Linked DNA regions of Oryzias latipes. The protein of the gene in region 2 interacts with the protein of the main gene of each other region in a pairwise test. Links are inferred from orthologs where the notes say so. Each region holds a gene or a part of one and is shown on either strand. Other genes may lie near its edges.

Region 1 (4,277 bases), on a different chromosome or scaffold from region 2:
AGGGTGTACCCCACCTTTGCCCAATTGTTGCTGGATTGGCTCCAGCAGCCCTGTGACCACGAAAAGGATTCAGTTAGTACAGGAGATAAATGGATAAATGGATCAAAGCCTGAGGGATATGGCTCTAAAATAGCATAATGTAGTCCATGTTAACAGGTAACTGATTGGTCGTTGGCCATATTTCTCTCTACAATACAAGGAAATGATTTGCAGATGAACAATCATATATTTTGTGCGCAGAAACAGCTGCTTCTCAGAGAAAAGCTGTCGCCTAAATGAAGCTGTTACTGAAGCATCTTTCAAATGTCATGTTCAGTTCATGTATCAGTAATGAACTTATTTTCCCAGTTTGGCACCTTCTGTTCTGGTGATCTTAATTATGTTTTGATCACTACGCTTTCTTTTTTTTACTTATGGTGAATTTCTCCTTAGATACAATTGTGCTCATCATGGACGGTTCTGCCATCAGCTGCACGTGGTGGCTACAGATGAAGATGGAGAATAGAGCTGCAGACATGCTGAGGAGGAGGAACGAGGCTTATCCTAGTCCGACTAATGGAGTTACACGAGTGAATTTATGTTTTAGTAATATTAGAAAATGTTCACATCTTTATCATATGTTCATGAGGTTTTTACTGAGTAAAAAGCAAATAATTTATTGGACGAGAGTGCTAAAGCATTCTAGTTTTAAATGTGAATCTCAAATTGGCTCACAGCAGTGTACAGATCTGAGAACAAAATTGGATTCTGTCAGCGGACATAAGTTCTGAATTAGGCCTAAGGGAAGGAAATTTAATATTTTTCATATAACAATATCTGATTTTAACTGGTTTTTGAAAGGAAATAACCGACTAATGCAAAATTCCTTCAGTCATATGACTTAGTATTAAAAGGAACTAATTAGTTTCATGGAAAATGTATAACTAAGGAAATTGGGCAACATTTCTAGTTCTTCCTGAATAAAGACACAAAATCATTGAAAATATATAAATTTGGATTGTTGCACAAGATTAGACATTTCAAATCAAAACGTGTTTTGTTTTTGTTTGTTTGTTTAAATTCCCATTTCAAAACTCATTTTCGTTTCGTTTGAAATTCTCTCTTCTCTTGACGTAAACACTAAACGTCGTACTCAGGGTGTTAATTTCCGGTATATTTCGAACCAATTACAACACGCCTCCTAAAGCATACTCACTCGTGATTGGTTGGCATTTTTCTGTTTGCTTTTGAAAGGCGGACACCGATTGGCTGATGCAATTTAAAAACTCGGGGCGGGTTAGGCTTCCATTAACAGATAGTGAGCGATATCAAAGCTGTTCGGATCTACTCAAATTGGATCTACAGTAAGCCTCGCAGGTAAACAGAACTTCTAGATGTATGTGGAATGTTTATTATTTCCGGGTAATAGTTTTCACGAGTGTAGTCGGTGTACACGGGCTGCAGGGATCGGTGTCACGGCGACAGAAACACTAGGAAAGCCACAGAAACGAGCTGTCCGCGCGGCTGAGAGGCCTCCGTGTTCGCAGCTGCGTTAAATGACCACCTCTGCGCCAACAGCCAAAGCAGAAGCGCAATCCGTTTATGCTGAAGCTTCACGTTCTTCCTCAGAGACACTATGGACCTTATGTCAGCATCTGAAGAACCTCCTCTTCAGCCTGAGCTCCTTTTGAAGAAGCTCCTATTGCCTCTTCTAAAAATAGCCATATTCATCCATAATAGTTGTTTTGGTTCGATGATCAGTCTCCATCAGAGCTCTCATGATGATGGTATCACCATCAGACCAGAAGGTTCCTCATCCTGTTTGTGTCATTGTGTGTGAAGTGGACTGACCTGTTGGTACATGTGTCCAGGAGAGCCCATCATTGGCACACATGGCCTCCCAGAACATGGACCCTGCAGCAGCTGGAGCCTCTGCAGCAGCTGCTCTGAAGGGCAACGAGAGCGAGAACAACATGACCAAAGGCTCGGTGTCCAAGCGGTGAGTGTCAACCGTCATCTGAACGTGAAAATAAACCAGACTAACAAGATCAAGAATGAGCCTGGACTTGAAAAGTTGTTTCTGTCTAAATGGAGATCCAGCAGCTGATGCAATCACAGATCAGTCAGCTTTGGTTTTCCCTGAATGATTCAGTCAAATGCTGATTAATTTAGCGGTTACTCTTTTGCATTGGCCTCTCAGTTTGGTGGTTTTAGTGCTGGTCAAGTTGAAGGTCCACAACGCCACATTTCCTGGCCCACATCAGAGCAGTCCGCTTATCGGCTGTACTATTTCTGATTTCTGAGGAGCTCTGCTTCTGTTGTGTGTTTGCAGGTTGCAGCAGGAGCTGATGACTCTCATGGTGAGTTCAACTTTTTATTTATAAATAGACTTTTATCACTGTTGATTTCAATTTTTTTTAAATCCTATTGTCTGAAATAATAAAAGGATATGCAAAGCTGTTAATTTCAGGGATAGATATTTTTTTTTACACAGATTGATGTTTTTCTTAGAATTTATGGCAAAGAAAACCCCTCTATACATTCACACATTTTGGGACTAATTTAGGAGTTTTGATTAATTATTTAAATAACAAAACAAACATATTTTGATGCATTGCACTCTGTGGCCCTCCCTTTCTGTAGCTGGGTAGCTCAATTTGGTTCGGTTCAGAATTTCATAGGGCCCGTTTTGATCTGTTTTCTGTATTTTTTTTCGGTACAAAAAAGGCAGAAAAAAATTTCTTGCAAAATGCATTTATTGGTTTTATATAACAATAATAAAACTAACCTATGTAGGTGATATGCTACATAAAATAATACAACTATTAACTGCCACTTCGTGTAACCATAAAATGCAAACAAAAATAAACAAACCGAAACGGTAAAAAAGTGGTCCAGACTGAAATTACCGAAACGGTTCAGTCCAACTACGTCTACCGTTACACCCTTACTAGTTTGGCAGTGTGTCTTATCCATAATGGAAACAAAAGTGATGATGAAGCCTTCTGAGACTATTTAAAGGGATAAAATAAATTCATAATCTAAAGCATTCACAAAGAACAATACTTGAAGTCCAACCGAGGCACTGAATCAGTTTGAATCCCTTTACGGTAACTAAAGTCCAGGAAAACGGCAGGGTGAGCGCTCATTTTTTGCAGCTTTTAGTGTAACTTTTGCTCCTTTGCTGCAGATGTCGGGGGATAAAGGCATTTCAGCGTTTCCAGAGTCGGATAACCTCTTCAAATGGGTTGGAACCATTGATGGAGCGCAGGGGACGGTACGTATGGGCGCATACGCTCGTGCCACTGGCTGTCTGTATTCCTCAACTACTAAAAAAAACTGCATAGTGTGGCTGTGGCACCATGTAGTGCCCTGGACCCGTAAAAGAAATTTGGTCTCTATACTCACTTTCTTTTTTTTTTAATGGCAAATATGAAATCACACATTTCCCGAAGTAAAAATGTAATAAATATGGACATTTTACAAAGACTATAAGACTATTAACGACAAGTTTATTTAAAACATTACTTCAAATACATGAAAAATTGTTCAAACACAATACATTGTGGTCTATATTCGCTAGTCTAGTGAGCATTGATGCACAGTGGTTTTTCTTAGACTTATGAGAAATTTTTCGAGCACCAGATTTAAGAATTGTAGAATCGCACAGCTCTACAGAATGGGGATGGCGCTATATAGTCCATCGTGTAGTGAATAGTGAAGCAATCCAGACACAACTGTTGGTGAGGAGAGAGGGGTGCTGCACAATTTGATTGTCACCACATTTGAGGTGACGTGAGGAGATGAGAGCTGCACATTATGCATGAATGTGTGATCCGGTTCTCCTGTCAGGTGTACGAGGGCCTCCGGTACCGGCTGTCCTTCGACTTTCCTGCAGGCTACCCCTACCAGGCTCCTCGTGTGAGATTTGTCACGCCTTGTTTCCACCCCAACGTGGACGATCAGGGTTTCATCTGTCTGGACATCCTGAAAGACAAGTGGTCGGCCTTGTACGATGTGCGCTCCATTCTGCTGTCCATACAGAGCCTGCTTGGAGGTAATCCATGGAGCTGTCTGTTCTCTCCAGAGTCCTGATGTTAACATCTGCTTCAGACCAATTTGTTTGTCTTCATAGAACCAAACAACGAAAGTCCTCTGAACACGACAGCGGCAGAAATGTGGGACAACCAAGATGGTAAGGAACCCACTTGGATCAATCCTAACAAAAGTGAACAATAATAGGTTTTGCTTGTTTTAAAGCTGTTCTTTCATTCTTCAAACCGTGAGAAAATCTTAAT
Region 2 (3,505 bases):
GGGTGACTCAGGGGGGCCTTTGGTCTGCCCGATGACAAATGGGACCTGGGTGCAGGCCGGAGTGGTGAGCTTTGGGATCGGCTGTGCTCAGCAAAACAAGCCAGGCGTGTACGCCAGGCTTACCACCTTCTCAAGCTTCATCAAGAAAAACGTACCAGAGGTTCAACTCTACGGAGGAGCCCATCACATCCAGAGTGGGAGCATTATTTTGCTGGTTAGCTTTGTGCTAACACTGCAGGTTCTACTTCAAAGATGATTTGCCATCAAAACTTAATTCCTGAGGGTAACTCTAAATCTCTGCCTCGGTGGCCTTTAATAGTCACATTATGTTACTTGTATCTGACGTGCACCAGAAGCCATAACAAAATGAGATCATGATTTTGTTTTGTTTTTTTAAATGACAGCTTTGTATGATGAGCTTTGATTAAAAGTAGATTTCATAGTTTTGTACTAAATCATAAATTGTGATCATTTTGCATTTCAATTAAATGTTGTTTAACCTAAAAGTCAGCTTTATCATTTATACTCCATCCTGTATATGTATATTCTATCATACTATACACAATATCTTTGGCTTTTTTGTAAGAGATCAAGGGGAAATTGCATTTAGTGCACACTTTTATTTAGGTATCTTTTACCTTTTTTTTATTTAAAGTGACGTAGCATTCATGCATTTATTTCCAAGATTTGTCTTTTATTACAGAGAAATCAGTCTTGTGTTCTCTCTCTCTAAAAAAAGCAATTTCGTTTTCCAAATGTTTAAAATGTAACTTAGGAGTCGGGAGCTATGCCATCAGAGAGGATCATGGGAGAGCCGAGCTGTAGCTCCTGCTGCAGCGACTCCAGGTCAGCTGGAGTCATGCGGTGCACCTCGCTCCAGTCGGATAAGAGGGAGGCGGAGAGGGGGGCTGAGTCATAGCTGAAAGACAAAAGAAAATGAAAAAGACGGTGTGCTCTCAGTAAAAGTGCAGCACGTGGGTTAATGCATGTCATGGCGTGCATGTCGGTAACTACCGGAATTTTACATTTTGACTAGAAGGTCAAACCTGTTTGACTTTAACCCAGCTCTCTTTGTATTTTGGATTGCATATAGAAGGGACACTTGGTTTGATATAAGGGAACTAAAAGACCTCAAGTGTGAAAGATTTTGCATTATGATGATGATGTAGATTCCCAGTTGAGTATTGATGTTTCTGTTGAACTCTTAAGTTTTAGTATCAGATCTCACCTGTCCCGGTCACAGTTTTGCAGGTCCGTCAGAGATTGGTTCAGAAGGTCATCCAGATCAAAGCCCACGCCATACCCAGCACCGCTGCCTTTAGGGGTGACTGAGAACACCGGCGGTAAAATGTCCTCCACCTGACAGAGGAAAACACACAAACTTTTGTTTCCATTAAAGGTAAACTAAGACTTGTCTGTAAATGAATCCCAGTCCAAACCTGGGACTTGGACAGCTGCAGGGTGACTGTGTGGATGTCAGGAGCAGTAGGGGCTCCCTGCTGTCCTGTATCGGTGAACACCAGGCTGGGATGAGGCTGAGAGGAGACCCCTACTGTCCCACAGAGGGGATTTCTGGTCTCTGATGTTGGTTTCCCTCCTAATGTAGAACATAGCTTCTCTATTTGCCCTGAATTTCCTGTCATCGTATTGAGGTTATTCTGACCTCCGATGCCCATGTTCCCGTTGGTCTCTTGGGCGTTGAGGGTTGCCGCTCTTGACAAAAAACTCTCTAAAGGGAGCAGCTGTGGCTGCGGGTCAGCCTTGGTTTGGGGCTGCAGGAAGCTGGATGGCGCCGGCTGTGTCGTTCTGTTTGGTTGGTGTGGCGGCCTCGTCGCCAGTTGCTGGCCACTCCAATTCCCTAAACAGCCAAACCTGCTTTGGACGCCACTTTCAGGGTGAGGCTTCAGGGCGTTTTTAACGAACCCACCAGCCATGGCCATTAAGTCGATCCCTGCATTCACAGTAACTAGATCAGCTGAGGGGGTCTGCTGGTTCATGGAGAAAGGCAATGATGGTGGTTGAGCGCTGGGCGACTGAAACAAGCCATGCTGGTTCGGGTTTACTTGAGAGATTAGCTGGTTGTGTGCCTGAAACGTTCTCGCCTCGTCGGTTTTATTGTTCATCGTTTCCGCGGTGATCTCTGTAACTGCACCCGTGTGAGAACTCTCGTTACAATCCTTGTTCTTGCATCCATCGTTGTTAGGAGTTTGAGATTTGTCGCAGCGGCTGTCCATCATCCTCGTCCAGCGCTGCAACAAGCTCTTGTCGTTGTCACTCAGCAACACCCCACCCAAAGAGTCCCCCTGTTTTCCCTCCCGTCTTTCCTTTTCTTTCATTTTTTTCTCCCTCTCTCTTGCTCGTTCCTGCCTCTTCTTTCTTTTCTCCTCTCTTTCCCGCTGACGCTCCTGGGCTGTGACAGACCGACGGGACTCTAGAACAGAGGACAGGGAGGATGAGGCGCCTCCTCCTGCACCGCAGTCAATACCGATGGCCGAGGCTCCTCCATCTGCAAAGAACAGATCAGAGAATGCACAGAAATGCAAGCCAAAAAAAACAAGGAATGATAAATATTGAGCTTACCACTCCTGGCTTTTTGTCTGATGGCAGACTTTAATAAAACTGCCTTAAGGGCATTTTTGGTGTCCTCTGAAATGGCGCCCTCTTTCCTGGTTCCCTCTGCTGCAGGTTGAGAACTCCTCGAGTTCTTGCCAAGTGACTGTGAAAGGGACTGAGAGAGTGAGTGGGCCTGTGCCACAGACAGAGACAGGGAGTGGGCAGAGGCGGGTATGGGTGCCGTCCTCCGTGGCGGTGCAGTGGTGGGAGCCTGGGCCGCTGACTGAGCCTGAGTGTTCATTAAATACTCATGAACTTCACGGTCTCTCATCGCTTCCGATGAAGCACCCTGACTAGACACTGGGGTCGTTAAATCTATCGTCTCCGGCTGGCCGCTGTCAGAGTTGGCACTGGGCATATCCACGTCAACTGGGCCACTTTCAGTTTTACTGAGAAGCGATAAATTGTGGGTCACGCATGTCCTGGTGACATCTAAAAGGGCTGCAGACTTGTCAAAGGCTTTGATCTGATCAGCAAATGCTTGGTTTGCTTCTGCTGGATGGTTTTGCTGCTGCTGTATCTGTTGTGCTCTTGGTACCATTGGAAGCAGTGAGGATTCGGTCAGATTGTCAGCAGTTGGAGCATTACTCTGGTTATTACTTTGCGCAGCGGCTCCCTTGTTCCCTCTCGGCAATGGCTTGAATTGCAGCTTCTGACGGCAGCTTTGTTTCTTTTTATGAAAGTCCTGGATTTCCATTAAAATGGCATCTTTGATTTGTTCCTTGCTCATTGCAATCTTATCAAATTCAAAGTCAAAAGCTGGAACGCATATAGGCTCGTCATCCGGGTCGTGGTATTTCGCCAAGTATGGGTGCTCGAGTGCCTCCGTCACACCGATTCGTTGGCGGGGATCGAAGCGCAACATGGCCCCCAGCAAGTCCAGGGCATCTGG

The links.
Region 1: the proteins of mitogen-activated protein kinase 7 (region 2) and ube2c interact in binary tests that used the Homo sapiens proteins (3 or more experiments, as listed by UniProt). The two-hybrid records come from large-scale screens. The link is inferred for Oryzias latipes from reciprocal best matches to the Homo sapiens genes MAPK7 and UBE2C.

What each region holds. Positions count from the first base shown.
Region 1 is NC_019863.2:18,098,450-18,102,726, forward strand, and holds the start of ube2c (ubiquitin-conjugating enzyme E2 C), read left to right. Parts: upstream 1-1,249; 5' UTR 1,250-1,356; intron 1,357-1,850; 5' UTR 1,851-1,871; coding exon 1,872-1,978; intron 1,979-2,311; coding exon 2,312-2,339; intron 2,340-3,169; coding exon 3,170-3,256; intron 3,257-3,831; coding exon 3,832-4,036; intron 4,037-4,114; coding exon 4,115-4,174; intron 4,175-4,277. UniProt on the Homo sapiens protein: Accepts ubiquitin from the E1 complex and catalyzes its covalent attachment to other proteins. In vitro catalyzes 'Lys-11'- and 'Lys-48'-linked polyubiquitination.
Region 2 is NC_019877.2:8,015,394-8,018,898, reverse strand, and holds the end of mitogen-activated protein kinase 7, read right to left. Parts: coding exon 2,581-3,505; intron 2,507-2,580; coding exon 1,440-2,506; intron 1,360-1,439; coding exon 1,229-1,359; intron 920-1,228; coding exon 772-919; 3' UTR 609-771; downstream 1-608. Other genes in the region: serine protease 27, read left to right, coding at 2-256. UniProt on the Homo sapiens protein: Plays a role in various cellular processes such as proliferation, differentiation and cell survival. The upstream activator of MAPK7 is the MAPK kinase MAP2K5.